Callithrix jacchus: one gene and its partners. The protein of the gene in region 6 purifies or fractionates together with the protein of the main gene of each other region. This does not show direct contact. Links are inferred from orthologs where the notes say so. Each region holds a gene or a part of one and is shown on either strand. Other genes may lie near its edges. The genes, in order: PTGES3, USP49, MCMBP, NUDCD3, MAP3K7, FKBP5 and CDK4.

Region 1 (4,155 bases), on a different chromosome or scaffold from region 6:
TAACTTAGGATGTAAAGAAATGTAACTAGGAAATCGCTAAAGAGCAAATGAGTAAATCAACTGAGAAAACACTCTCCCAAGCCCTTAATGCACCCAGCATAATCTCTCTCCAGATCTTTAAAGAAAAAAAAAAGGTTTTATTAGCCAGGCATGGTGGTGCTTGCCTGCAGTCCTAGCTACTCAGGAGACTGAGGCAAGGAGGATTGCTTGAGCTCGGGAGGTGAAGTGGAGGTTGCTGTGAGCTGAGATCACGCCACTGCACTCTAGGCTGGGCGATAGAGAAAGACCCTGACTCAAAATAAATAAATAAATAAATAAACCCGCATCAGCCAGATTCTTCCTAGGACTGGATGACGACCCAGTAAAGGATTCTTCCACCTCAAACAACCGACTTACAACATTCATTTTGTAATTTCACTTAAATCTTTAACTTGGTAAGAGTCCCTGAAGAATATACCAAATGACACATACTGAATATTTTTAAAAGGATGAAATTAGCTGGTCTCTTTCAAAACATTCATCTTTTCCCTCAACACCCTGCATGTGGCATCGGATCACTTGTTTTGAAAGTAGCTTTTTTTTTTTTTTTTTAACCAGAGAGGCTACTTTTTGGAATAGCCTCTCTACTGCTACATTTTGAGACGGAGTCTCCCTCTATCGTCCAGGATGGAGTGCAATGGCTCAATAATCTTGGCTCACTGCAACCTCCACCTCCAGAGTTAAGGCGATTCTCCTGCCTGAGCCGCCAGACCAGCCGGGATTACAGGTGAGCACCACCATGCCCGACTAGTTTTTGTATTTTTAGTAGAGACGGGGTTTCACAGTATTGACGAGGCTGGTCTCGAACTCCTGATCCCACCGCCTGACCCTCCCAAAGTGCAGGACAGGTGTGAGCCACTGCACCCTGACTTACATTGACTTTTCTTTCAAGTTTTAAAATCTACTTAACTTAGCCATTTCTTACCTATTTAAATATCTTACGTGGCCTCCAGAAAGTGCTCCTACCTCAAGCCAATTTTAAACGTATTTTTCGCGAAAAGATACGTTCAGCTGTATTAAAAGTTGCTAACACCTCATCTGACAATTTTCCCCTTACAGGTTTTCAGAGTATAAAAGGTTAAGACTGAAGTCCCTTTTACATTACCTAGAAGGAAAAGCAAAAACTACTTTACATAGATTCGAATTTGTAAAAACCCCGTTTACGTACCACTTTCAGGGAGGGGGCTCCTCCAAAATTCTAATTTACGCCCTTACAGTAATACACGCTGTGCTCTAGAAGCTTGTTCTCAGCGACAAACTGGCTTCAGTGTACCCCTCACTCATCCCTTTAGACTTTTAGCCAATATATTCACTGTCAGTATCATGGCTTGAATTAAGTAAACCCTTGAATGTTTGTTACTTTTCCGCAGGAATAAAGTTACTCCCCTCATCTCTCCTAAATGGAGTGTGGGCGGGGGAACGCTCCCCTTCAATTGTTCTCAGTATCTTTTAAGACTTAGCTAATAACTTAAAAAATAACGTCCCGTCAAAAAAAAAAAACAAAACCAAACCCTGTAAAACCAGGAGCCCTCACTGGATGTGGCAGTGCCATGAATTCTTATTCGGTTAAAATCAATTAAGGCTTTCCTTTACCATAAAACGAAGATTGCTATAGAACTTGTATTCACCTACACACCATCAAATTTAAGCTTTTTAGGACAACAGTAAGTTAATTACATATCTACTTCATCCTACACTGAGGCAGGATAGTGAAACCTCACCTAAAGTTTAACATGGAACACTGAAAATGTCCGTAGGTATTCTTCCAAAGTCGACACGTGCCCAACTACCTGCTCAACGGTAACTCCTCACTGCCAGGGAAGCGGCTGAGCTCCGGCAACCTCCCGTGTTTTGAACAGACTGGGAGTTAGGAGGCGGCCTAGAAGTACCCACACTCAAGAAACCCAGACACAGGAGAGGGAAGTAAGTTGCGGCGTGGGCATGGCTTCCCTCCAGTTACCTAGCAGTACCATGCAGCTCACGGCGAGGTCCGCGTGGGGCTCTCCCAGGAGCTCCGCCAGGTACCTGGCGACACCCACTACAGGTGCGCTCGGCCCAGGGCCTGGCCCCGGGACCACGGAGCAGAACTGGAGCGCCCAGGCGGCCGAGAAGCGACCCGCGGGGGTTCACGCTTCAGGGCGCCGCATGGCGAGCAGCTACCAGGAGCTCAAGGCCTAGGGTGAAGTTACAGAAAGCGAGTCGGCCAGACGGCCAAAGGGGGAAAAGTAGCATTTCCGGCACGGGGAAGCGGAGATCTGGAGGAAAATGTCCTCCACTCGCCAACGGTAACCGGAACAAGGATACTAGATCTCCCGCCCCCAGGCAGGCACAACTGCCACCACCGATGCGAGAAAGACTGGGGGGGCCGAAAGTGGAGGGAGGGCCGCGGCCGCATTCCCGGAGCCCCCGACGCGGCCTTGGCCTCACTCCGGGCGACCTTCCCTCGGCGGGGTGTCGCACTCACATTGTGAACGGGGCAGGGGGACGGGCGAACGGGTGGGCGGGCCTCTCTGGCGGCGGCTGCTGCTAAGGAGTCGACTTCTCTCCGCTGGCGACTCCGCGTTTTCTCCCCGGTCGCGGCCTCTTCTCGCTTCCCTCAGGCGACGGCGACAGCGGCGGGCTCGACCTAGCTCCCCAGAATGCACCGCGCGGAAAGAGCGGCTCCTCCGGTCGGGGAGAAGAGGAAAGTGTAGGAAAACGGGCGCGAGGACGGAGAATGAACGTGCGTGCGTGCGAACGAGGGGTGGTGAGGCCGGGCGGCGGCTGGTGACGCAGCAAAATGCCCGGGCCTTGCCACCGCGCGTGCGCAGTCCTTGTTTTCGGGCTCCGGCGCGGCTTTCTAGAGATATCTACGGAAAGGGCGGGGCCTCCCAGCTCCTTCGCGATCCTTCCTGGCGCCGGCCCCGCCCTTCGTCCGCCACCCTACCCCCACCCCGGCCCCCGCTAGTCCTTACGCGTTCCCGCCTCTCCTCCCGCGGTGTCCTCTCGCGTTAGAAAACCGTTGGCCGCCCAACCGCCCGGCCACGCTCTTTGGGCGATTTCTCTGAGAAACCGCTGCGTTGGCAGCGGGAGGAAAGGCCGAGGCGGAGGGACGCGGAGTCGGGATCGTGGAGAATTGAAATGGAGCGTTGGTTACTCTTGAGGGAGTAAATCAGCTCACGCAGGAAACATTCCACCACAAAAACGTGAAAAGCCTGTGCTGTGGAAAAGGGCTCACTTCACCATTTTTCTGAAGGTTGGAGGCTCTGTCCAGGGACAGCGGACATTCGAGGTTCTTGGCGGAGGAGGAGCGTTTGCCATTCGGGGCTGGCTTTTGCCCCTGTCTTGAGACCTTAGTACTGTAGATGAGCCACGAAGGATATTTGAGGGGAGAGTCTAGGTTTCTGGAATGGAGAGGCTAAGACACTTTGTGTCTCCATGCACATTATTTGGGGAAGAAGGGATTCCCCGTCGCTTCCTACAACACACTACTAGGGTGTAGTAGGGCATAGTAACCGAGAGACCCAACACAGCCCTGCTCACCAAGAGGCTACTTAATGGTGGAGTAGGGGAGAAATACTCCAGTGCACTGCATTTTGAACAGGAAGGAGGTTTAAGGAAAGTGCTATATTTCTGAAGAATGAGGTTTCATAATAAGCATTAAGGTGCTTAGTGTCTGCTGTACAAGGCAGATTATTGGGGAGCTACGAAACGTGGATCCTAGCTCAGATACCGTTAAAGAGGGAAATTGGGCTGGTGCAGTGGCTCACGCCTATAATCCCAGCACTTTGCGAAGCCAAGGAGGGTGGTTCCCTAGGTCACGAGTTCGAGACCAGCCTGACCAACATAGTGAAACCCCATCTCTACAAAAATACTAATTAGCCAGGCATGGTGGCATGCGCTTGTAATGCCAAAAACTAGGGAGTATGAGGTGGGAGGATAGCTCGAACCCGGGAGGCGGAGGCTGCAGTGAGCACAGATCATGCCATTGTACTCCAACCTGGGCGACAGAGTGAAAGCCTGTCTCAAAACGAAGCTGGGCGCGGTGGATCACGCCTGTGATCCCAGCACTTTGGGAGGCCGAGGCGGGTGGATCACGAGGTCAAGAGATCGAGACCAGCCTGGTCAACAAGGTGA
Region 2 (3,500 bases), about 6.4 Mb from region 6:
TAGCAATAAGAAAATCATGATCTGGCTTGAGAGTAGTGTAGATCGCATCCCTTTGTATGATTTGAGGATTTCTTATATAAAGACATGCCTCTGCCATCTGGAACAGGCAATAAAAAAGGGAAGATTCTCTAATTCTGTCCTGCAGTATATTTATTTATTTATGGGTTTTGGCATACATAAATAGGACTAGGCCAAACAAGGCATCTGGAAAATTAAAGGGGCTACTCAGAGTACACTGGATTTAGAACTTTTCTGGGTTGACCTCTTAATCATGAAACTGCATTTGCTCTCAGAAATCAAAAGTAGAGAATAAATGGAGGTGAAAGAAATTTACTTTGAAAGAGGATTGAGAATTCACTTTAGGGAATTTAATTATTTATTTATTTATTATTATTATTTTTGAGACGGAGTTTTGCTCTTGTCACCCAGGCTGTAGTGCAGTGGCGCAGTCTCGGCTCACTGCAACCTCCGCCTCCCAGGTTCAAGCGATTCTCCTGCCTCAGCCTCCCGAGTAGCTGGGATTACACGCATGTGCCACCATGCCTGGCTAATTTTTTGTATTTTTAGAAGAGATGGTGTTTCTCCATGTTGGTCAGTCTGGTCTTGAACTCCCAACCTCAGGTGATCTGCCCTCCTTGGCCTCCCAAAGTACTGGGGTTACAGGCATAAGCCACCGCGCCCAGCCTTATTTATTTATTTCTTTATTTTTATTTTTGAGACAGAGTCTCACGCTGTCCCTGAGGCTGGAGTGCAATGGTGCGATCTCAGTTTACTGCACTCTCTGCCTCCTGGGTTCTAGCGATTTTCCTGCCTCAGCCTCCCAAGTAGCTGGGACTACTGGTGCCTGCTACCATGTCCGGCTAATTTTTGTTTATTTTTATTTTTTTAGTAGAGACGGGGTTTCACCATGTTGGTCAGGCTGGTCTCAAACTCCTGACCTCAGATGATTCACCCACCTTGGACTCCCAAAGTCCTGGGATTACAGGTGTGAGCCACCATGCCTAGTCTTTTTTTTTTTTTTTTTTTTTACTTTTAAGAGATGAGGCCAGGTGTGGTGGCTCACACCTGTAATCCTAACACTTTGGGAGGCCAAGGCAGGAGAATCACTTGTACCCCTAAGTTCCAGACCAGCCTGTGCAACATAGACCCCATTTTTTTTTTTTTTTTTTTTTGAGACAGAGTCTTGCTCTTGTCGCCCAGGCTAGAGTGCAGTGGCACGATCTTGGCTCACTGTACCCTCCACCTCCCGATTTCAAGCAATTTTCCTCCCTCAGCCTCCCGAGTAGCTGGAATTACAGGTGCCTGCCACCACACCTAGCTAATTTTTGCATTTTTTAGTAGAGATGCGGTTTTGCCATGTTGGCCAGGCTGGTCTGGAACTCCTGACCTCATGATCTGCCTGCATTGGCCTCTCAAAGTGCTAGGATTACAGGCGTGAGCCACTGCGCCCAGCCTCATAGACCCTATCTCTACAAAAAATAAAATTAGCTGGGCATGGTGGCATGCACCTATGGTCTCAGCTACTCTAGAGGCTGAGGTAGGAGGATAACTTGAGCCCAGGAGGTGGAGGCTGCAGTGAGAGAAGATCACACCACTGCACTCCAGCCTGGGTGACAGAGTGAGACCCTGTCTCACAATATGTAAATATATAAGTAAATAGATAGATAGAAAGAGGTCTGTGTTGGCCAGGCTGGTCTTGAACTCCTGGCCTCAAGCTCCCACCTTAGCCTCCCAAAGTGTGCAAGCCACTGTGCCTAGCCTAGGGAATTTAAAGTTCTGGTATTGAGGGGAAAACGCCTTCAAAGTTTCAAAGACATAAAAGTTTTCTTTTAAAATAGTTGTATAGCTTCTTTCCCTTGGAGAAATTGCCCACAAGGCTTCTCTGATGAACAATACTGAAGAAGCATTGTTGGGAATAGAAAAAAATAAACATGATTAGGATGTTACCACTGTTTTAAAAAGCATTTTCATACATATATATATATCTGGAAGATTCGTTGTTTTTTTTTTGTTGTTGTTGTTGTTATTTCGGTGGTTTGGTTAACTATTATAATACCAGTAGCCACTTTATCTCTTGTCCTAAGTCAGATTTGTCCAATTCTTTACTTACCTATCCTTTCAGTAAAGAAGGTAAGTTTTCCTACCCTTACTGCAAGATGCAGATGTTCTTTTCAAAAAGACAGATGTTGGCTGGGTGCAGTGGCTCATGCCTGTAATCCCAGCACTTTGGGAGCCTGAGGCGGGAGGATCACTTGAGGCTAGCTCAAGACCAGCTTGGGCAACACAGACCTGTCTCTAAAAAACAGGCCAAGCCTGGTGGCTCATGCCTGTAATCTCAGCACTTTGGGAGGCTGAGGTGGGTGGGTGGATCATTTGAGGTCAGGAGTTTGAGACCAGCCTGGCCAACATGGTTAAACCTCGTCCCTACTAAAAATACAAAAAAATTAGCCAGGCGTGGTGACACGCACCTGTAATATCAGTTTCCTGGGAGGCTGAGGCAGGAAAATCGCTTGAAGCCGGGAAGCAGAGGTTGCAATGAGGTGAAATTCCGCCACTGCACTCCAACCTGGGCAATAAGAGTGAGACTCCCTCTCAAAACAAAATAAAAAAACCCACATAGACAATGTTCCTTAGCAACGTCTCATAAAAATGATACTTTGTACTGTTGAGGACTTTCGTATTTTTACCTTATATCCTGATACCTCTGCTTTGCATTATATTGCATCCAACCTAATATTGACTTTTTATTTGAGGCTCTTCGTCTCTCTCACTGGAATGTGAAACACCATAAAGTTTCAAATTTGTGCTAACCCTTCCGTATGATACTTCTTTTTAAGTAATTTAACTGTCCTGTAATTCTCCGCCTTTATACCAAATGTGCCTTTTTTTTTTTTTTTAACTTTCAAAGGAACCAATTTGGAATTGAAAATGAATGAATCTAGAGTTGAAATACCAATTGCAAGCCTTTTTGTCTTTTTTTTTTTTTTTTTTTTAAGGAAAATGTTTTTTCTGAAAGTGTTTTCTTTTTCTTTTTTGGGGACTCTGTCATGCCAGGTTGAGAGAGTGGCGACTTCTGTAAGACATGGATAGATGCAAACATGTAGGGCGGTTACGGCTCGCCCAGGACCACTCCATCCTGAACCCTCAGAAGTGGTGCTGCTTAGAGTGTGCCACCACCGAGTCCGTGTGGGCCTGCCTCAAGTGCTCGCACGTGGCCTGTGGCCGCTACATTGAGGACCACGCCCTAAAACACTTTGAGGAGACTGGACACCCGCTAGCCATGGAAGTCTGGGATCTCTATGTGTTCTGTTACCTGTGCAAGGACTACGTGCTCAATGATAACCCGGAGGGGGACCTGAAGCTGCTGAGAAGCTCCCTCCTGGCGGTCCGGGGCCAGAAGCAGGACCTGCCGGTGAGACGCGGGCGGACGCTGCGGTCCACGGCTTCGGGCGAGGACGTGGTCCCGCCGCAGCGCGCTCCTCAGGGACAGCCGCAGATGC
Region 3 (3,500 bases), on a different chromosome or scaffold from region 6:
AGGTATAATGAATTCCTCAATTTTTCAAGGCTGACCCTGTTTCCTTGGTTACAATTTTAAGTTAGGCCTTACAGGAAAAAAATTTACTCGATCCTTTGTCCGTCTCCAACTAAGTAAGTTACTCACTAAAAGAAGTTAAGTCTTGATACCACTGACAGCTTAAAAGGTAACATCCTAACCTTTGGAAATTCTGGTTGTCATAACCATGATACTATATAGTTTGTTAGTTTGCACTATGAAAACTAACTGTTCTGGAGAAAACATACCTGCAGTTGTATGAGGCTGTTGCTGGAGCGGCAGATGTTAGCTGATTTAATGTACGTGGAACCAACTGAAAAACTCATATAAAATGCTAAAAATCCAAATACAATCAAAGCAACTAAATGACATTAGGAAAAAAACTTTCTAAAGGGGGTACTGTTTTTTAAGTTTGCTATTTTGTTTTCATATTTGGGCAAAACTTTGTGGCATAGCATTCCCTTATGCATGGTTCTAAAATGCACTGGGATAGAAGAAAATAAGGAAAATGGTGTATCTTGGTTTATTTTGCCCCCAAAAGCTACATTCATTCCATTTAAAGAACTATTATTCTGAGATTGACCTTTTACGAAAAAAAAAAAAAAGGTGACAATACAGTGATTTATTCAGATTACTTGGCAACGTAAATTGGCAACCCTACAGTCCCCCAAATTTTTGGAAATATTACTACTGGTCCATGAAATACAAAAGTCTGGGAACCACTGCCATATAAAAGTCTATTTTGCAGGCTCTTAACAAATGTTAAGTGGGAAAAAGTTTCTGTGGCCAAACGTCTGGGAAATGACAGTACAGAATTTCACGTAGTCATGTGAATCAGTGGAAGCACGCCTCCATCCCCAGCGTTGGGACTACTGAATGCACCCAACCCACTGCTAACTGGAAAACAAAAACCTGAAGCGCATAACTCATCGGACTTTGAAATTGCAACAACCTTCTTCATCTCAGCATTTCAACAGTCTGGCCTATGACTCCACTGAAGCTAAGGAAATGGTATAATCAGGAACATTATCAATATTAAACTTTTAATATCAAATACTTTTTTTTTACATCATTACTAATTTATATAATTATAAAACAAACTTCAAAAGCTCCATGAAATCAGTAAGGTAAAAGTCCTTACTGCGTATCATATAAACATCAGATGTTAACCAGGCTTAAGGAAACGTCATTGGTTTGTGATAGAAATTACCTATAAAACAATGTGGTATAAATGAATATCTGAACTTTACAATTATGTGGCTACAATTTGCCCATTGCTCTTCATAGGTATCAGATTTTTAAAGTTCATTTCCATTCACACATTTTTGCTGCTGAAGCCTCGTTCTTCTTAAAGACTCCAGCTGCTTTGCTCTCAGCCATCGTTCTCTTGACAGCGTTGTCTGACCAGCACTGAGAGATAGACACCTGGTTTGAAATACAAACAAATTTAAGTCTAGAACTGGGACAGTAAGTCTTACATTTTTTGAAGACCTAGGAATACTTTGTAAAATACAAACCACGTATGGGAGACAAGACCGTCTGGTAGTTACACACAAGTCAATAGCCAAGTTCGACTTCTACAAAGAAATCTTTGAAGAGTCAGAATTGGAGGGTGGCTCACTCTTTGAAGCTTAGAGAACAAGCAGCATGCCTGTTCCACTGAAGGGATCACCAGTCAACCTTGATTGCCCCTCAATGAGCCCTTTCATACAGCGTTTTTAAAAGGAAAAGTTCATTTTTGTTTTCAGAAGTCTGGCTCAGTTACTGCTGAATAACTGAGAAGATTTATATACACAAGCTCAGCGAAAAAGCAATGATGGACATGCACCACTTACCGAGCCACCACGAGCAGCTGGTGAAGATCATCAGCAGTGATGCTCTGAGGGTCGTTCTTCCGCATTTCCACAAAGTCATCTTCAACTGCCTTTATCAAAAGAGTAAATGTAAATGACATGCATTTTTGTAAGAAAGAGAAAATTAACATGGTTCCTTGACTGATGTGAAAATGAGGATGTCAACCCCTTAGACAAAGGAGACAATAGGGAATGTACCAAAGCATATACATAAATAATGCTGGTGAAAAATAATGAAACTCAAGATTCATTTAAGGTCAAGCAAACATATAAATCGGCAACTGGCATAGGAAACAATGCTTTTCAACAAAGGGAAAAGTGATGCTAGTGAAAATGGCAGAGAAAGGACTGCAGAAAACTGTCTCTACTTTAAGAACATCGATCAAAATCAACTTTTTTAAAACTCTGGAAATAAAACCACACTTGCAGCAATCCAGAGAGCATTTATGCAAGAAAACCAGGTGATTATCGGCAAGAATGTTGAGGCTTGTTGGCATTTTAACATGTCCTATTCCTATATTCTACCGTCTTCCCCTCCAGGTGATGTTAATAAGCTTCAAAAACCAACAGCCTGGCAGCCACTGGAAAAAGAACAGGGCTAGAGCTCTTTCAAAGTGCCATTTCCAAAGAACTGTCTTCTGACCACCTGTCTAGTGGCTCCCTGGAATAACCATTTACAAGGTTTTCTTCATGTAACCTGACTGGAAGCCTGTCTACTATGAACCACCTCTTTCCCCAGGGCATTTATCAAAAACAATCAGAAGAAATTGTCAATCACTTTAGCTACGTGACACACTGGATAACAGTTGTGGCAAACAGGCTAACCCAAACCCTTAAACGGAAAAGCTAGTTGGGAAATGAGATGTCTGCAGAGGGCTCTGAAAACCTCACATATGTAACTCCTAGGAACTTAGAAGGCTGCAGACATGCTCAGAGACCTTCAACTCCCACCTCTGGATAACCTGGAGGCTCTGTGCAAGCAGGAAATGAAGACTAAGGCAGGCTTGTAAATTGTAAAAGGCTAAGTGTTGAAGGCTTGACCCAGCTTTTACTTTTATTTATGATTATTATTCACCCTTAGACTGGGAGACCAACTGGGAGAAAGAAAATTTCTTGGCATTTAAGAAAATTTCTTTCCAATCATTAACCACAAAACTAACAGCAAAGACTTCAGTGCCCACATGTGACAAAGATACAAACGTTATAAATTAGTCAAAAAAGTTACTAAACAACCTACCAACAATAACAAATAGCAACAACAATAAATCCTAAGTAGGTTTAATTTCCAGAGTCTTGACTTCCAAAGCAGAGTTGCCATATTATATTATTTAAAATGTCTGGTTGTGGCTAGCGTGGTGGCTCACGCCTATGATCCCAGCACACTGGGAAGCCAAGGTGGGAGGACTACTTGAAGCCAGGAGTTGACCAGCCTGGGCAATAAAACAAGACCTCATCTCTACAAAAAAACAAAACAAAACTTTAGTTAGGCATGGTGGCGCACACCTGCAATCTCAGCTACTGAGGCAAGAGGATCACCTGAGCCCAGGAATTTACTGTGACTATGCTACTGTACTACTCCAGCCTGGGTGACAGAATGAGACCCCATCAACCAATCAAATAAAATGTCTG
Region 4 (3,500 bases), on a different chromosome or scaffold from region 6:
GACACACAGGAATGCCTGCAGTCCACTTTTGTCTCAGGAAAGGTCTGAGTGCTGATCTTGACACCCTGTGCTCCTTCTGTTGTAAGATCAAGTCTACTAATCTGCCCTTTGCACTCTGGGCATCCTACATCGGGCCCCCATTCAGCCACCCAGTTCCCAGGGTACGAGTGTGGTGGCTGCAGGGTTCTACAGCTGTCATTTGCCCTACAGCTGGCCAGGATTCTTTTGAAAGGTTCAGAGGCTTTGTGCAGCTGCCTGCTGAAGTCATCCGTTCTTGTGTTTGGTTGAGGCTGTCCAGCCTCATACCTCCAGTGGGCAGAGGAGGGGGCTTCATGTAGTCTTCTCTGTACCCCTAGCCACTCCATGTGTGCTGCAGGACCTTGTTCTCAAAATGGTCTTTCTAAAGTCTCTGATGTGAATTGCCCACAAGAAATTGATAGTAATGTCAATTAATCTGTAGTATATAGTACACATCTTTGATATGCTTGTTGCTGCATCACTTCGATTTTAAAAAAAGAAAAAGAAGCCAAGTATGGTGGACTGCACCCGTAGTCTTAAGTACTCAGGAGGCTGAGGTGGGAGAATCGCTTAAGCCAAGGAGTTTGAGGCTGCACTGAGCTGTGACCACACCACTGCACTCTAGCCTAGGAAACAGTGAGACCCCATCTCTAAAAATTAAAACAGCAAAGAGAAAACTCTCTTGTCAGGAAGACTGTGTTTTATGTAAGGAGAAGCCCTGGCGTTGAGAGCCCCACAGCCTCATCTTCTGGGCCTAGGCTACAGGGTTTTCTGCAACAGGGACCATGGATCATATTGGTAGAGTAACTACTGGCCCTGCACAGTCTCTTTTGTCCCTGGTCAGAATGTCAGAAGGAAGGAGAGATCATCCCCAGCCCTCAGTATACTCATGGTGGCCACATGAGGAGGGCAGATACGGAGTCCCTATGAGGAGAGAGGGCCTGCTAGCTCAGGTACCGATGCTTCCCTCAGGATCCAATATTCCTAATGTCCCTTGCCATGGCCACACACTCAGGCTTGCTTCTGACCCTCGGAGGCTTGATAGTTCCAGAATAGCCAGATGTTGGCAACAGCTTAGTTAACCAACTCTGACTGCATCTGCAAGGATGCAGTGGGGAATTCCTGACTGGGGGGGTCTACCACTGGACATTCCGAAGTCTCTTCCTCCATGCCACATCCTGGGTCAACCCTGGATTGTCTGATGATCTAGTTCTTGATGTTGATAACTGGGGTGCTAGGGTATCCTCTCTGCACACCTTCATCAGATGGGGCTTGAACATTTTACGCACCTTCTCTATGACCCCAGTGGGGCTGGGACACTTCCTCTTCATGTCATAGTCAGTGCCTAGTGGGACCATAGACGTTGCAGGCTGTTTGGAATTTGTTGATTCCAAACAGATTGAAAAGGGACAAGATGAACCATGAAGAGCAGCCAGAGCTTTGCTGGGGACAGAAGATGGGGGGTTAGAAACTCAGTCTGTGGAGCACAGTCTTGCAGAGAAGTTGTTAGTCACACAGTGCCTCCCTTGGTCGAAGGCTGCTCCAGGGCAGTACGGTTCTCTGGCCAGTCAGTTTTGCCAGGTGAGTGCCTGAGCCCTGAGGAAGCAGGAAGGCTCTTTGCCTGCAGTCAGAGTCTGCTCTGGGAGAAAGTGCACAGTGCCTTGTGATCTTGTTTAATCTCTTTATTTTCTGTTTGTAGAAAGTCCATGAGATGCTGAAGAAGGGGTGGGATGCTGAAGGTTCTCCCTTCCGAGGCCAGCGATTTGACCCTGCCATGTTCAACATCTCCCCAGGGGCTGTGCAGTTTTAATGACCAGAAGGAAAGGAAACCCTCACCGGTGGGGAGGCAGAGGCCTTGTCCTCAGCCGCCCTCCTCGGCTCCCCCTGTGTTCTAGGGACTTGTTCGTCTTGTTTACCCCTAGCCATCCTTTCAATGGTGAACCAGGCCTTCCACCCTGACCTTGCATCTCCAGACTGTTCCAGAGAAGGTGCAGTGACAGCTGCTGTGTGGTGGCCGCTGTGGCTGACACTGAGTGAAGGTGTTTGAAATGCAAGAGAGGATATCCCAACAAATTGGGATCATGTGCTTCTGTCTCCACAGCAACCAGCCACTGCAGGCAGCATGTCTTTCCCCTGCTCTCTGCTTGCTGTTGTTTTGACGCTGTTCTGCTTGCATGTGTTCTGGTTGGGGTGTAGAGTTGTTGCTGGGCTCTCAGGCGAAGCTGAAGTCATTGAAGTGTGTGAAGCTCAGTGCTTGCATGAGGGCAAGCAAGGAATGACTGTGCAACTGTGCCTGGGGCTGCTTTGGGAAGCTCCTTGCCCCTTGACCTCTTTCGGGAGCACTGATGTGGTCTTCTTGCTTATCCCCTTATAAATGTGCTCTGCCTGCCTCAGCGTCATGGTCAGAGCAGTGGAAGCTGGAGCCCTGTTTGCACATTCTAGATGTTGGGAGACAGCCTAGGTTCTGGGCTCAGGTCCACATGCAATGGGGATTCTGTCTGTTCTCTGTGGCGACCATGCTTTGGTTCTTGTTGAAGTGAACCAAGCCTGGCCACCACGGCATGGCATGCCCTGCTTGGCTCCCTGTAAGATGTCCTCTTTGGGTTCACGGTGTCAAAGCGTGGGCAGGAGTGGAGAGCTAGCGCCCTCAGGAGGAGACTACAGCATGTTCATCAGCTCATCAGCAGAGCACGCCAGCCACAAGTCCTGACAAGCCTTGACCTTGAGGGGCTTCTGGGAGAAGAGGAATTTCTGCATGGGGCATGAAGGCATACTGTCCCACCACAACTGAACCAGAAGACAGTGAAGGCCCCCATCCTCTGTGCCAGGTGCCAGACTGCGCTCCCTGGAGCTTATGGCCCCATCTTACCTGTTCTCCAGGGACTGGCCACCACCTCCAAGGTGGTCGACCTCCAAGGACCTCCAAGCCCAGGCCCATGGCTGCTGACTGACTCCAGCCAAGATGCAAAGACAAGATCATGGGACAGGGCCCCAGGCCTATGCCCTGAGTACTCACAGGGGCTCTGGGTGCCTGTCACTGGGAGTATGGTTCAGCTGCCACTGGCACTGTCCATTTGCCTGTCCATCAAGCTCGGGGCATGGATAAGCCACACAGCAGGGCAGTGCACCCTGGCACCATGCACAGCCAGCAAGAATCAAGGCCCGCAGATGCTAAGAGAGCCTACCATCAGGGGAAGGACCCTGCCCCTGCATGCTCTCTCTGTGTATACTTGGGTTGCGGGGGCTGTCTAGGAGAGTAAGTTGGTGGTTGGTTTCTGATTTACAGTGGTGGCTGACAGCCCTTGTGAGAAAGCATTCCTGGAAAGTCTTCTGTAGGTCCAGACTGTTGCTCTGATCATCATGGGAGAACAGAAGACCCCATGTACCCGCTTTGGAATGTGAGAGCCTTGTCTGATATTTGCCACTGAACTGGTGAAGCCCTGCTTAAGAGCTCTTGACCCTGGGGAGCAGAACTCTTGTCA
Region 5 (4,130 bases), about 53 Mb from region 6:
GATCATACAAAGAGAGTATGTACAGTGAAAATAAATTATTCTTTCTTTTTTTATCCATTTATCAAACTGTCATTGCGTGTCACTAGAACTATGATAAAAAAAAAGTGACACAATGTTTCCCAGGAGTTGGTAACTTCTTGATGGTCAAATCCAATGACCTATTTGCAATCCCAATTGTGTTTAACATAATTCTTTTTTATACAGCATATACTTGGTTGGCTACTTCTTCATTGGAGAGCTTTCCTCTGGTGACATTCCAATTACTATTTTCCTCACTTCCCTCTTTCAGTCTCTTACTGAAACTTAGAATTTGACATTAGCGTGAATCCATCCTTGGTCTTTACATTTTCATTTCTAACTCCAATTTTCCACGGTTAGGCTTTATGTCAAACGGACTAAATAGAGTTCAACAGTTAGTTTAAAACTAAAACTTGTGCTGATAGTACAATATAGGCAATGCTGCCCATTTTGGGGACAAGATTGATCTAGTTTCAGAGGACCATAATTGCTTTAAAGTCTGAGCCTATTTTCTCAAGTCCTGAAAATGGAGATGTAAAAATTTGATTTTCAAGACGACTGTTGATGATTCATTTACCAATCTAAAGCAACAGTGCCCTGCACTCGTAATCCATAACTTGAGATGAATACGCCAAATTATGTCTCTTAATCATCTCCTCCATATAAAGTTGTAACACCAAAATATTAACTTCTGTTCATGAGCACTCAACCTCCACAGTTATTCATGTTGCATAAGCTGATTCGCTCTTTTAGAATCTCTCATAGTGTCAGGGACGAGCTCAAAGTAACAGGTGCAACTGCTTCGTTCCATATCCCACACTGAGGAAAATACATTTCGTAAGCTGTCTTAAAGAAACAGGTCAACTTAGTTTAGGGCTGAAACTTAAAGGTAAGCTTCGTCACAAAAACACATTTCAATACCATCTTGCCTGTCTGCAGGCAGCTAAAAGGAGACGCAGTGAGGCCAAAACATATTTCACGCAGCAGAGACGAAACCCCATCTTTCATCTTTCCCGCTGGTCCTTAAAGGACCAACCGTACTGATTTTCCGTCACGTTCCGCGCCACTTCCGCTCGCGCACTTTAATTACGTTAGGCATCAGCTCTCGCGTTATCATCCGGTTGCTGAGGCCCTGTAATAAAGGTCTCGCGAAATTTGTTCTAGAGGTCCAAGCTTGCTTCTTAGCTTACTCTACCCCACCCCCAACGTGTCCCTCCTTTACTTTCCAAGTCAAAAAAATTTCCCCTCCCATCTCCTCCCCCAGAGTTTACGGCCCGCTTCCTGTTTCCGATTTCAGCCCGGAACCGGAAGTATAGTGGGCGGGGCCCGGCAGCGGAAAACGCAGCGGAGCCAGAGCCGGGACACGGCTGTGGCCGCTGCCCCTACACCCGCCACGGACCGACGGGTGGTAGGAGTGCGCGGCTCCAGGCTGAAGGTCGGTCCGGAGGCGGGTGGGCGCGGGTCTCACCCGGACTGTCCGGGCGGCACCGTTCCCGGGCCACCCGGGCGCCGCGAGGGATCATGTCTACAGCCTCAGCCGCCTCCTCCTCCTCCTCGTCTTCGGCCGGTGAGATGATCGAAGCCCCTTCTCAGGTCCTCAACTTTGAAGAGATAGACTACAAGGAAATCGAGGTGGAAGAGGTGAGCGAGGCCCGGCATGTAGACGCCGGTCCCGGCCCGCCCCGACCCCTCCTCTGCCTGTGCCCCAGAGGTCCTGGCTTTGAAGGTGTCTCCCCGACCCCTCTAATTCGCTGGACCCTAGTGGGTCCACCCGGGAGACCCCACATCCCTCAGTGACGCGGGAGTAGGAGTTACTCTCTGAGCTCAACTGTTCGGGAGTAGCTTTTTTTCCCTCACTTGGGCACTCTTGATTTTGGATTTGATATCCCGGTGATAAACAGGAGAATGAACTGGTGAGATATTGTGGTCCACCAGTTCTCGTATCTGTAAGTAGTAGTTTCAGCGAAGATCGTAGCCGTTCTGGAGTTTCAGTTCGCTGGCCGTAATGTTCTGAATGGTCAAAGATTGTATGATGTTCGACTTCTACCTCAATGCCTGGCATGTAGGGGATGCTCAATAAATGCTTCTTAAATTAATAGATCGTCAAGTCTAATAAAGTGTTTCCCTTGGCACCGAATGGTTCTCAATTTCTCCGATTTAAATGCTCGGCTTCCAGTTGGGTTAATGTAGGTAAATTTCACCATAAGTAACATAGACTGGTCTACGATCAAAATATGTTTCAAGTAGCATACTCTGAAGAGAACGAATGATTACAGTGACAATCAGAATATTAACATTAGACTAGAAATCGCTATCAGAAAACCCATATCCTCTTTATTCTGCAGTAATTTATTTTAGAACCTGTTATTTCAATGTGACTTTAAAGCATTGCTTCTTTTCAAATTAACAGAGAGGTAATTGGGTTCTAATGACTATCAAATTTAGAAAAGTAAAAACTGCGTATATATATTTTAAAGACACTCTAGAATTTGTTAAAAACTTCGGTTTAAAATATCAGCTCTTACCTTTTATTTGCCTTTTTAAAAAATTTTTAAGCACTTTGCGTTTTATATACCATGAAAAACCTAGTGAAATATTATAGATTGTCAACAAGTTGTGTCTACTTTAAAATTATAAAATTATTTTTAAGTATCAGCAAGTTCAAAGTAGTAAGATAACGTTCAACAAATAAATTTTTTTTCCTGTGCATGTTTTGGAAGAGTAGTGGATTACTGGATTATATGTATTTTTATCACATAAAGTAACTTTAAAGATTCATTGAGAACATCCTTATTTTACAAGATAATATGATGGGAAGAGCAAGGTGTTTGGAGTTAGAGGAAAGTTCAGTGTATCAGATACGCCATTTATTAGCTGTGTGATTTGGGGCAAGTTTCCCAACCCCTTTAAATTTTAGTTTACTGTAAGAAAGAGATAATAAATTCTGTTTGATTTTATCTGCATAACACATCATAGTCTTAGACATTATATGCAAAACACCTACCACAGGGCCTGACACATATTAGGAAACCTAGTTCCAGAGAGGAAATGTGACCTGCTTTAAGGTCAAATAGCTAAAAGAAGACCTGAAAAAAGGGAGAAATGTTTTTAGTGTATTTTTTTTTGCGTTAAGGCTATGATAAATTCCTTTTCCAGAAGTGGATAGTTGATCCAGCTTTCATGGCTAATATTCTTTTTTAAGAATAAAAATTCAGTGAGTCAGTATACAAGAATTGCAGTTTTTAAATAAGTGTTTGCGTCTGCTCTGTGGTGAATTGCTTGCTGTGCTTGTAGACTACAAATTGTTATATAATAATAACTTGTGCTTTATGGTCTACTAAATGCTTTCACAAACATTTCATTTGGTTCTTAAAACCTTAGTTTCTGTTTGCTACTTTTTAAGGCTTTTTGCATTCTTGATTCACGGAAAAACAAGTTCTAAGGAGGTAGTTATCATTTTGATGCTTTTCCCTAAAGCTGTTTCACTTCTTGTTAGGTTTGTGTGTTTCCAAGACCCTTCTCTCAGTTTAAATAATGTTTCAACCTTTGTGTGTATGTGGGGGTGTGTGTGTATGTAGGACATTTCTAAGGAGTAGGTTTTTGTTTATAGATGAAAATTTTTTTCTAATGGTAGTCAGTTATTTGGGTTTTTTGTTTTATTCCTTTTCATTTTTAATACTCTGTTCATTTTTGCATAGAAGGTTGAATTTAGACATTTCTGATATTGAAAGCATTACATAATTTCCATCATCTTCATTTGCACATATTAAAGCAATGTTATACAATCCAGGGTGAACCATGGACCCTTATTAGCTCTTTGTCAACTTAGATTACACTTCCAGTAAAATTGTGAGTAAAATAACAGAGGAAGATAGTCAGAAACAAAAACTATTTTATGTTGCTTTCAGTATTTTATGTTGTATAAGAATATTACCTTCTAAATTAAGAAAATCATATTTTGTATTTCTCAATATAATTGAATTGTATTATATCAATATAACTAGAAAGTTAAAAAAAAAACTCAATCACAGGCTGAATATGCAGTCCTTTAATTGATACATATTTCTAAGACATCAGCTGATCTTGCATTTCTAATATTGTAACTCAGTAGT
Region 6 (3,500 bases):
TGAACTTCTCAAGAGCCCCTCTCAAATCCCCTTGAGATCTTCCTAGAAATTGCATTACGTGCAGAAAATAATTTGGGTAGTAAATTTTGATCAGTAGTATATAATTATCTTGAGCACCATTTTTTAAATACACTATTTCCATCTCTTTTGGCAAGAGAGCTTTGGTAAACTGTTTACTGAATTTCAAAATTCATCCTTTCTGAAATATATGCTGTCTGTTCCTAGGCCCTTGGACTGGACAGTGCCAATGAGAAAGGCTTGTATAGAAGAGGTGAAGCCCAGCTGCTCATGAACGAGTTTGAGTCAGCCAAAGGTGACTTTGAGAAAGTGTTGGAAGTAAACCCCCAGAACAAGGCTGCAAGACTGCAGATCATCGTGTGCCAGAAAAAGGCCAAGGAGCACAACGAGCGGGACCGCAGGATATACGCCAACATGTTCAAGAAGTTTGCAGAGCAGGATGCCAAGGTGTGTGTAGAGCCCACTGACTGCAGGTGGATCAAGAGCCTGACTGTGCCCCTTTGATTTTAAGGGACAGGAACAGTTAACCCAAGAGGCTCAAGAGTAGGGAAAACGATTTCCAATCTCATCTGAGGCCGAGGCTGCTTTGGATCCAAAGGTTGAGTAGGGCAGTTCAGCAGTTCCACTCACCCAAGGCAGACGTTGTGAAAGGAGAGAGAACTAAATTCCCTTCAGCTGTATTAGATTGATTCAGAAGTAATTGCCATTACTTTCAATGGCAAAAACAGTTTTGCACCAACATTTTTCCCACCCAGACTGGAGTGCAGTGGTGCTATCATGGCTCACTGCAGCCTCAACTTCCCTGGTTCAAGTGATCCTCCCACCTCAGCCTCCTGAGTAGTTGGGACTACAAGCACACACCACCACACTCAGCTAATTTTTTTTTATTTTTTGTAAAGATAGGGTTTCACTTTGTTGCCCAGGCTGGCCTCAAACCCCTGGCTTCAAAGGATCCTCCTGCCTTGGTCTCCCAAAGTGCTGGGAACATAGATATGAGCCACCATGCCCAACCCTTTTGTCATTTTTGAAAAATTGTAAACCATCAGGATTTTTTTTTTCAGGTAATACTTCCTCATTAAGACTTCTGACTTTCTCAGGAAATGGGGTGTTACAGGAGCCCCACAATCATACCCATTATCTTGAGAGTCAGCAGCCAGCCTGGCAAATGTGACAGGAGAGGTCTGTCTAGAGAGACATATGTCCTACAGCATAGTTGGTACTCTGGTCTCATCTCAGTCTCCATGAATGCCCAGACTTCATTATCCCACAGCTGTCCTATGGGTCAGGCTGGTTATTTACACCAAAGAAAGGTGAAGCTCCCACTCTAACTACTGTAGCACAGCCCTGACCTATCCACCTAGATAACAGAGAGAAAATCACTGCAATACTCTAATGTTTGGGACCTGATAAACAGTCTGGAGGAGCCAGGAATTACTTCACTTCTTTTTCCTCTAACCTTCTTGATTGCTTATTTCTTCCTTAGGAAGAGGCCAATAAAGCAATGAGCAAGAAGACTTCAGAAGGGGTCACTAATGAAAAATTAACAGTCAGTCATGCAGTGGAAGAAGAGAAACCTGAAGGCCACGTATGACGCTACGCCAAGAAGGAAAGAGTCCTAATGAACTCGGCCCCCCTCCTCAATGGGCTTTCCCCCAACTCAGGACTGAACAGTGTTTAATGTCAAGTTTGTTATAGTCTATGTGATTCTGGAAGCAAATGGCAAAACAAAACCAGTAGCTTCCCAAAAACAGCCCCCTGCTGCTGCCCGGAGGGTTCACTGAAGGGTGGCATGGGACCACTCCAGGTGGAACAAAACAGAAATGACTGTGGTGTGGAGGGAGGGAGGCAGCAGCTTCAGTCCAGCTCATTTCAGTTTCTATCAGCCTTCAGTATCCAATTCAGGGTCCCTCAAGAACATCCTAACCACGTGGGGCTGTTAGTCTTTACCTTTGACCTTTCATAGCACTGCAGAAACCTTTAAAAAAAAAAAAACACTTCTTGAATTTCTCCTTTCCCACAGGTGGGTGGGGTAGGGGAAGGAGGATGAGGTTTTGTTTTTTAAATGACTGAAGTGCTGAAAATGCAGTCTGTTGCATTTTTAAACAACAGAACCCACAGTAGAGGGGTCTCGTGTCTCCCCAGTTCCACAGCAGTGTCACAGACGTGAAAGCCAGAACCTCAGAGGCCACTTGCTTGCTGACTTAGCCACCTCCCAAAGTCCCCCTCTTCAGCCAGCCTCCTACTGAGAGTGGGTTTCTACCGCACACAGCCTGTCCCTGGGGGAGTAATCCTGTCATTCCTAAAACACCCTTCACCATTGATAATGAGCAGACAGGAGTTTCTGGATTAGTTTTTCCTATTTTGGATGAAATTCTGAGATACTGAAATGTGAAAAGAGTAATCAGAATTGTGCTTTTTCTCCCTTTCTCTATTCCTTTTATGAAATAATACTCAATACACAGTACTTCCTGCCAGCACTGCTACTGTTTAGCTTCTTGTTTCATTCTAATCCTTGATATGAAGAATTTAAGGCTTGTTCTTACAGTATATTTGACCTGGAGTGGATCTATTTACATAACCATTTAGGATCCATGCAGCTTTTTTTGTCTTTTTAAAATTACTGGCTCATAAGCATATGTATCCTGGCTTATGGAACTTTATTTACACTCCTCTATCATTCATGCAAAAAAATTTTGACTTTTTAATACTAAGCTTAATTTTTAAACACAAAATCTGTAGACTTGACAAGTAAGTAGTTGCTTTTCTGCATTAGGGGTTTCACCTGCAGGTTTGACACAGCTGCTCGCTTTTCCTGCCCTAGCAAGCTTCTCTGTTCTGGCGAGAGTTGTGAAAGAGTTGAAGATAGCTTCATGCAGGTACAGCCAGTAGCCTAAATCTCCAGTACTTGAGCTAAGCATTGAACTAGGGCAAGTCTTAAAATAAATGTGTACATGTAGTTGAATTTTAGTCCTTACGGGTAAACAGACTGAGCATGGCTCTCTATTCCCTCAGCCTAAGAAACACGGGAATGCATTTGGCAACCCAGGGAACCATTCACTTAAACCTGGAACATCTCACTTTTTTAAATCCTAAAAAACACTGGCAGTTATATTTTAGTTTTATGGTGGTTTTATCAAAAGACTTGTATTTGACTAGGGCCCTCTTAAAACCTAAAAATCAAATTATTTCCCTTTTATAATAGTTTTCTTCTCCATGGAACCAGTTTGTTTTTTCCTTTAATAACTAAAATCCCTCTAATTTCTCATTTATGCTTTTGTCTTTTTTATGAAATATTTCCTTTAAAAGCCCCAGTCTCACCTAGGAAATAGGAAGAGCAAAAGTTGATTTTGCTTCCTTGCTGAACTGTTTGGAAAGCTCTGTAGAGTATGGTTCCAGTAAAGCCAAGATGGAAATTTGATACTAAAAAGGCTACCTGACTTTTTGCAGATAACAAGAAAGCTATTCCAAGACTCACATGATGC
Region 7 (4,106 bases), on a different chromosome or scaffold from region 6:
CCCCTAAAGGGCTGGGAGATAAAGAACCTGGAGCCAATAAAACAAAAAAGGTAGGAGAAATCTACCTCTGTCAACCTAGGTGTCTGTGGGCAGAGGCCATTTGGGAAAAATGGTGCTAAGTGCTGGTTCTGGATGGTGCTAAGTGCTAAGAAAGCTGCACTAGGGAAAAAGGGAAGCACAGTGACTCCAAATGAACAGTCACAAGCTTGCAGAAAAGCACGTCATTCCCATTTACTGTGGTTGTCTGGAGGGTGCAGGGGGTGTGGTGGTAACTTCTTGCACATGCGCCTGTCTACGACATGTAATAAGTAATATAACATACATACATATATATATACCTAGAAGTATATATATACACACATATATCTTAATCTCACATAATCATAGAATCTTCCTACTGAAAAAACAAAAACAAAAAACATAAAGGTCAAGTATTCCTGTCTCCTGCTCATCAATAACTTCTCTGCCAGATGGCCTCAAGTCTTTGCATTAACACTTCCAGGAAGGTTTGGAAGTTGGGAACTAGAGGGCATTACTTTGCCACTGTTCCTGTTGTCTTACTGTATTAATCTGCCTTCTGTCCATCCCCTAATTGAAGTTTTGCCCTCCAGTGGGCATTGTCTACTACCTATTTTATAAGACCCCATTGTTGGCTACATCTTTATAGATAGTCGTACCACTACTTTAAAGAGCCAGTGACAGACACCAAAAACAAAACAAAATAAAAACCCACATACACACTGGCAACAAGCACTCAGTACAATTTTGTAGAATGAATGAGTGAAACAATGGCACAAATGAGAGTATGTTTTCTCACGGTGAAGCAAAAAGGTGATAGTACCACCTCTGGTCCCCCAACTCCCACCCTCTCCCCAATGTAGTCAGGCTGAAAGACCAGTGAAACAATCTTTCAGCCCGGAGTTGGGCTCTGGGTGGCCTGGGTTGCCATGGCACCGCCTTGGGCTCCACCCTCTCTTGCCCCCTACCGCGCCCCCCCACCCGCAGCGGGGTTGTGGCAGCTAGTCACGTGCCCTTCGCGTAACCACACCTCTGCTCCTCCGAGCAATGTCAAGCGGTCACGTGTGATAGCAACAGATCACATGGCTGTATCTCCCCTCCGCCCCTCTTACGCTCTTAGCTCTCCTCCCCGTCAAAGCGGCTCCTGGCCGCCCCCACAGCGCTTGGCTGGCGGTCACGTGCCCAGAACGTCCGGCGTTCGCCCCGCCCTCCCAGTTTCCGCGCGCCTCTTTGGCATCTGGTCACATGGTGAGGGTGGGGGTGAGGGGGCCTCTCTAGCCTGCGGCCTGTGTCTATGGTCGGGCCCTCTGCGTCCAGCTGCCCGGGACAGAGCCCGGGTGTATGGGGCCGCAGGAACCGGCTCCGGGGCCCCGATAACGGGCCGCCCCCGCAGCACCCCGGCCTGGCGTGAGGTAAGTGCAGCCCCATCCCAGCTTTCCACGCGTGCGTTTCGAGAGCTGGTTATGAAAGGGTCGTTCAAGGGCGGGAAATGGGGCCTTTGTGGTCGTGGGAAGGTATAATTTTAGGGACTGAGGTGTAAGATCTTCGATGCAAGGCGTGTGTCATGTGTGATCTTTGTACGGGGCGCGATTGTCCCAAAAGAAAAGGCATTTTTTATTGTAGGGCCTCACGTGGCTGCAGGGGTTGGTATTGAGTCATTGTGTTATCTCCGGGGCCGGCCCAAGGAAGATTGGGAGCGGGGGATGGGATGCTGGTGTTGTTCTTTGTGCTTTTTCTTGGGAGTCCCTTTGTTGCTGCAGGCTCATACCATCCTAACTCTGTAAGGGACTTTTAGTGATAGGAGTCTTTGTGATTGTAGGGTCTCCCTTGATCTGAGAATGGCTACCTCTCGATATGAGCCAGTGGCTGAAATTGGTGTCGGTGCCTATGGGACAGTGTACAAGGCCCGTGATCCCCACAGTGGCCACTTTGTGGCCCTCAAGAGTGTGAGAGTCCCCAATGGAGGAGCTGGAGGAGGCCTTCCCGTCAGCACAGTTCGTGAAGTGGCCTTACTGAGGCGACTGGAGGCTTTTGAGCATCCCAACGTTGTCCGGTGAGAAGGCGGTGGAGGGTTGGGAGTGGGCAGTAAAGGGAAAAGACAGTCTATAGGTGGGGTGTGGTGATCTGGTGAGAAGTGGGGACCCAGAGGAAATAATGAGAGGTCATGTGGGTTAAAGGGGATTGACAAGTGAGCATTTACTCTGGCCAGGCTGATGGATGTCTGTGCCACATCGCGAACTGACCGAGAGATCAAGGTAACCCTGGTGTTTGAGCATGTAGACCAAGATCTAAGGACATATCTGGACAAGGCACCCCCACCAGGCTTGCCTGCAGAGACCATCAAGGTGAGTGGGGTTGGTAGGCATTGAGAGGTGAATTGGGACCTTTGTAGTAGAACCTCCTGGGATTTCAGGGATGGTGCCTAGTTTCCAGTGCATCTGTTCCTCCCCCTTCTGAACTAGGATCTGATGCGCCAGTTTCTAAGAGGCCTAGATTTTCTTCATGCCAATTGCATCGTTCACCGAGATCTGAAGCCAGAGAACATTCTGGTGACAAGTGGTGGAACAGTCAAGCTGGCTGACTTTGGCCTGGCCAGAATCTACAGCTACCAGATGGCACTTACACCTGTGGTCAGTAGAAAGATGGTACCAATATGGGTTCTGGTTGGGAGTAGGAGAGTGGTGGCCCATAACAATTGAGAAGTCATGTGCTTCATGTGTTCAGTTAAGTCAGTTGTATTTCATGGTAACGCATGGGATCCCCATCCATTTTTCCTATCCCCTTTAGGTGGTTACACTCTGGTACCGAGCTCCCGAAGTTCTTCTGCAGTCCACATATGCAACACCTGTGGACATGTGGAGTGTTGGCTGTATCTTTGCTGAGATGTTTCGTCGAAAGTATGGGACCCACATACCCTGGACCACCTTGAATTCCCCAAATCTCTTGTTCATAAACCACATCCAAACCTCCCTTCCATTCTTCTTCTTTTTTTTTTTTTTTTTTGTTGGAGACAGGGTCTTCTCTGTTGTCCAGGCTAGATTGCAATGACATGATCACAGTTCACTGAAGCTTCAACCTCCTGGGCTCAAGTGATCCTCCCATCTCAGCCTCCCGAGTAGCTCACACTATAGGCGCACACCTCCATGCCTGGCTATTTTTTAATATTTTTGTAGAGATGGGGTCTCAGTATATTGCCCAGGCTGGTCTTGAACTCTTACACTCAAGCAGTCCTCCCAACTCTACCTCTCAAAGTGCTGGAATTACAAGCATGACCTACTGCACCTGGCCCCATTCGTTTACTTGAGTTCTACTGACTACCTTGGCCATAACGGGAAGCACTAAAATGTTCTGGAATTGGGAACTTCATATCCCTTTATTCTCCTTTATTTATTTATTTATTTGAGACAAGGTCTCACTCTATCACCCAGGCTGGAGTGCAGTGGCACAATTACAGCTCACTGTACCCTCTACCTCTTGGGCTCAAGCAGTCCTCCTGTCTCAGCCTCCTGAGTAGCTGGGACTACTACAGGCGCACGCCACCATGAATGGCTTTTTTTTTTTTTTTTCAAGACAGAGTGTGGCTCTGTTGCTAGGCTGGAGTGCAGTGGTGCGATCTTGGCTCACGGCAACCTCTACCTCCCGGGTTCAAGCAATTCTTCTGCCTCAGCCTCCCGAGGAGCTGGGACTACAGGTGTACACCACCGTGCCAAGCTAATTTTTATATTTTTAGTAGAGACGGGGTTTCACCATGTAGGCCAGGATGGTCTCCATCTCTTGGCCTCATGATCTGCCCACCTCTGCCTCCCAAAGTGCTGGGATTACAGGCGTGAGCCACCGCACCTGACATTTTTTTTTTTTTTTTTTTTTAAGAGACAAGGTCTTGCTTGTCCAGGCTTATCTAGAACTCCTGGGCTCAAAGAGTTGTCTCACCTTAGCATCCCAAAGTGCTGGAATTACTGGTCTTTATTTGCTATACTTTTTATTTTGGGCTACTAAGTAGTAACAGCCATTCGACTATGATACTTTAAAAATGACAGCTACCTTATGTCTCTTCTTACCTTAGGCCTCTCTTCTGTGGAAACTCTGAA

What was found.
Region 1: the proteins of FKBP5 (region 6) and PTGES3 purify together in Homo sapiens (affinity purification with mass spectrometry; 4 studies listed by BioGRID and IntAct, with this or other methods). This does not show direct contact. The link is inferred for Callithrix jacchus from reciprocal best matches to the Homo sapiens genes FKBP5 and PTGES3.
Region 2: the proteins of FKBP5 (region 6) and USP49 purify together in Homo sapiens (affinity purification with western blotting; 4 studies listed by BioGRID and IntAct, with this or other methods). This does not show direct contact. The link is inferred for Callithrix jacchus from reciprocal best matches to the Homo sapiens genes FKBP5 and USP49.
Region 3: the proteins of FKBP5 (region 6) and MCMBP purify together in Homo sapiens (affinity purification with mass spectrometry; 3 studies listed by BioGRID and IntAct, with this or other methods). This does not show direct contact. The link is inferred for Callithrix jacchus from reciprocal best matches to the Homo sapiens genes FKBP5 and MCMBP.
Region 4: the proteins of FKBP5 (region 6) and NUDCD3 purify together in Homo sapiens (affinity purification with mass spectrometry; 3 studies listed by BioGRID and IntAct, with this or other methods). This does not show direct contact. The link is inferred for Callithrix jacchus from reciprocal best matches to the Homo sapiens genes FKBP5 and NUDCD3.
Region 5: the proteins of FKBP5 (region 6) and MAP3K7 purify together in Homo sapiens (affinity purification with mass spectrometry; 4 studies listed by BioGRID and IntAct, with this or other methods). This does not show direct contact. The link is inferred for Callithrix jacchus from reciprocal best matches to the Homo sapiens genes FKBP5 and MAP3K7.
Region 7: the proteins of FKBP5 (region 6) and CDK4 purify together in Homo sapiens (affinity purification with mass spectrometry; 3 studies listed by BioGRID and IntAct, counting the BioPlex papers as one, with this or other methods). This does not show direct contact. The link is inferred for Callithrix jacchus from reciprocal best matches to the Homo sapiens genes FKBP5 and CDK4.

Annotation. Positions count from the first base shown.
Region 1 is NC_133510.1:62,968,771-62,972,925, reverse strand, and holds the start of PTGES3 (prostaglandin E synthase 3), read right to left. Parts: upstream 2,801-4,155; 5' UTR 2,506-2,800; coding exon of another isoform or gene 2,504-2,505; 5' UTR 1,775-2,503; coding exon 1,761-1,774; intron 1-1,760. UniProt on the Homo sapiens protein: Cytosolic prostaglandin synthase that catalyzes the oxidoreduction of prostaglandin endoperoxide H2 (PGH2) to prostaglandin E2 (PGE2).
Region 2 is NC_133505.1:50,309,474-50,312,973, reverse strand, and holds part of USP49 (ubiquitin carboxyl-terminal hydrolase 49), read left to right. Parts: intron 1-3,054; 5' UTR 3,055-3,082; coding exon 3,083-3,500. UniProt on the Homo sapiens protein: Deubiquitinase that plays a role in several cellular processes including transcriptional regulation, cell cycle progression or innate immunity.
Region 3 is NC_133513.1:112,985,467-112,988,966, reverse strand, and holds part of MCMBP (mini-chromosome maintenance complex-binding protein), read right to left. Parts: intron 1,943-3,500; coding exon 1,854-1,942; intron 1,444-1,853; coding exon 1,317-1,443; 3' UTR 1-1,316. UniProt on the Homo sapiens protein: Associated component of the MCM complex that acts as a regulator of DNA replication.
Region 4 is NC_133512.1:12,467,159-12,470,658, reverse strand, and holds part of NUDCD3 (nudC domain-containing protein 3), read left to right. Parts: intron 1-1,717; coding exon 1,718-1,828; 3' UTR 1,829-3,500.
Region 5 is NC_133505.1:96,667,375-96,671,504, reverse strand, and holds the start of MAP3K7 (mitogen-activated protein kinase kinase kinase 7), read left to right. Parts: upstream 1-1,330; 5' UTR 1,331-1,539; coding exon 1,540-1,659; intron 1,660-4,130. UniProt on the Homo sapiens protein: Serine/threonine kinase which acts as an essential component of the MAP kinase signal transduction pathway. Plays an important role in the cascades of cellular responses evoked by changes in the environment.
Region 6 is NC_133505.1:43,874,946-43,878,445, reverse strand, and holds part of FKBP5 (peptidyl-prolyl cis-trans isomerase FKBP5), read left to right. Parts: intron 1-225; coding exon 226-465; intron 466-1,501; coding exon 1,502-1,609; 3' UTR 1,610-3,500. UniProt on the Homo sapiens protein: Immunophilin protein with PPIase and co-chaperone activities. Component of unligated steroid receptors heterocomplexes through interaction with heat-shock protein 90 (HSP90).
Region 7 is NC_133510.1:61,953,418-61,957,523, forward strand, and holds the start of CDK4 (cyclin-dependent kinase 4), read left to right. Parts: upstream 1-1,306; 5' UTR 1,307-1,430; intron 1,431-1,837; 5' UTR 1,838-1,856; coding exon 1,857-2,071; intron 2,072-2,227; coding exon 2,228-2,363; intron 2,364-2,480; coding exon 2,481-2,648; intron 2,649-2,805; coding exon 2,806-2,915; intron 2,916-4,081; coding exon 4,082-4,106.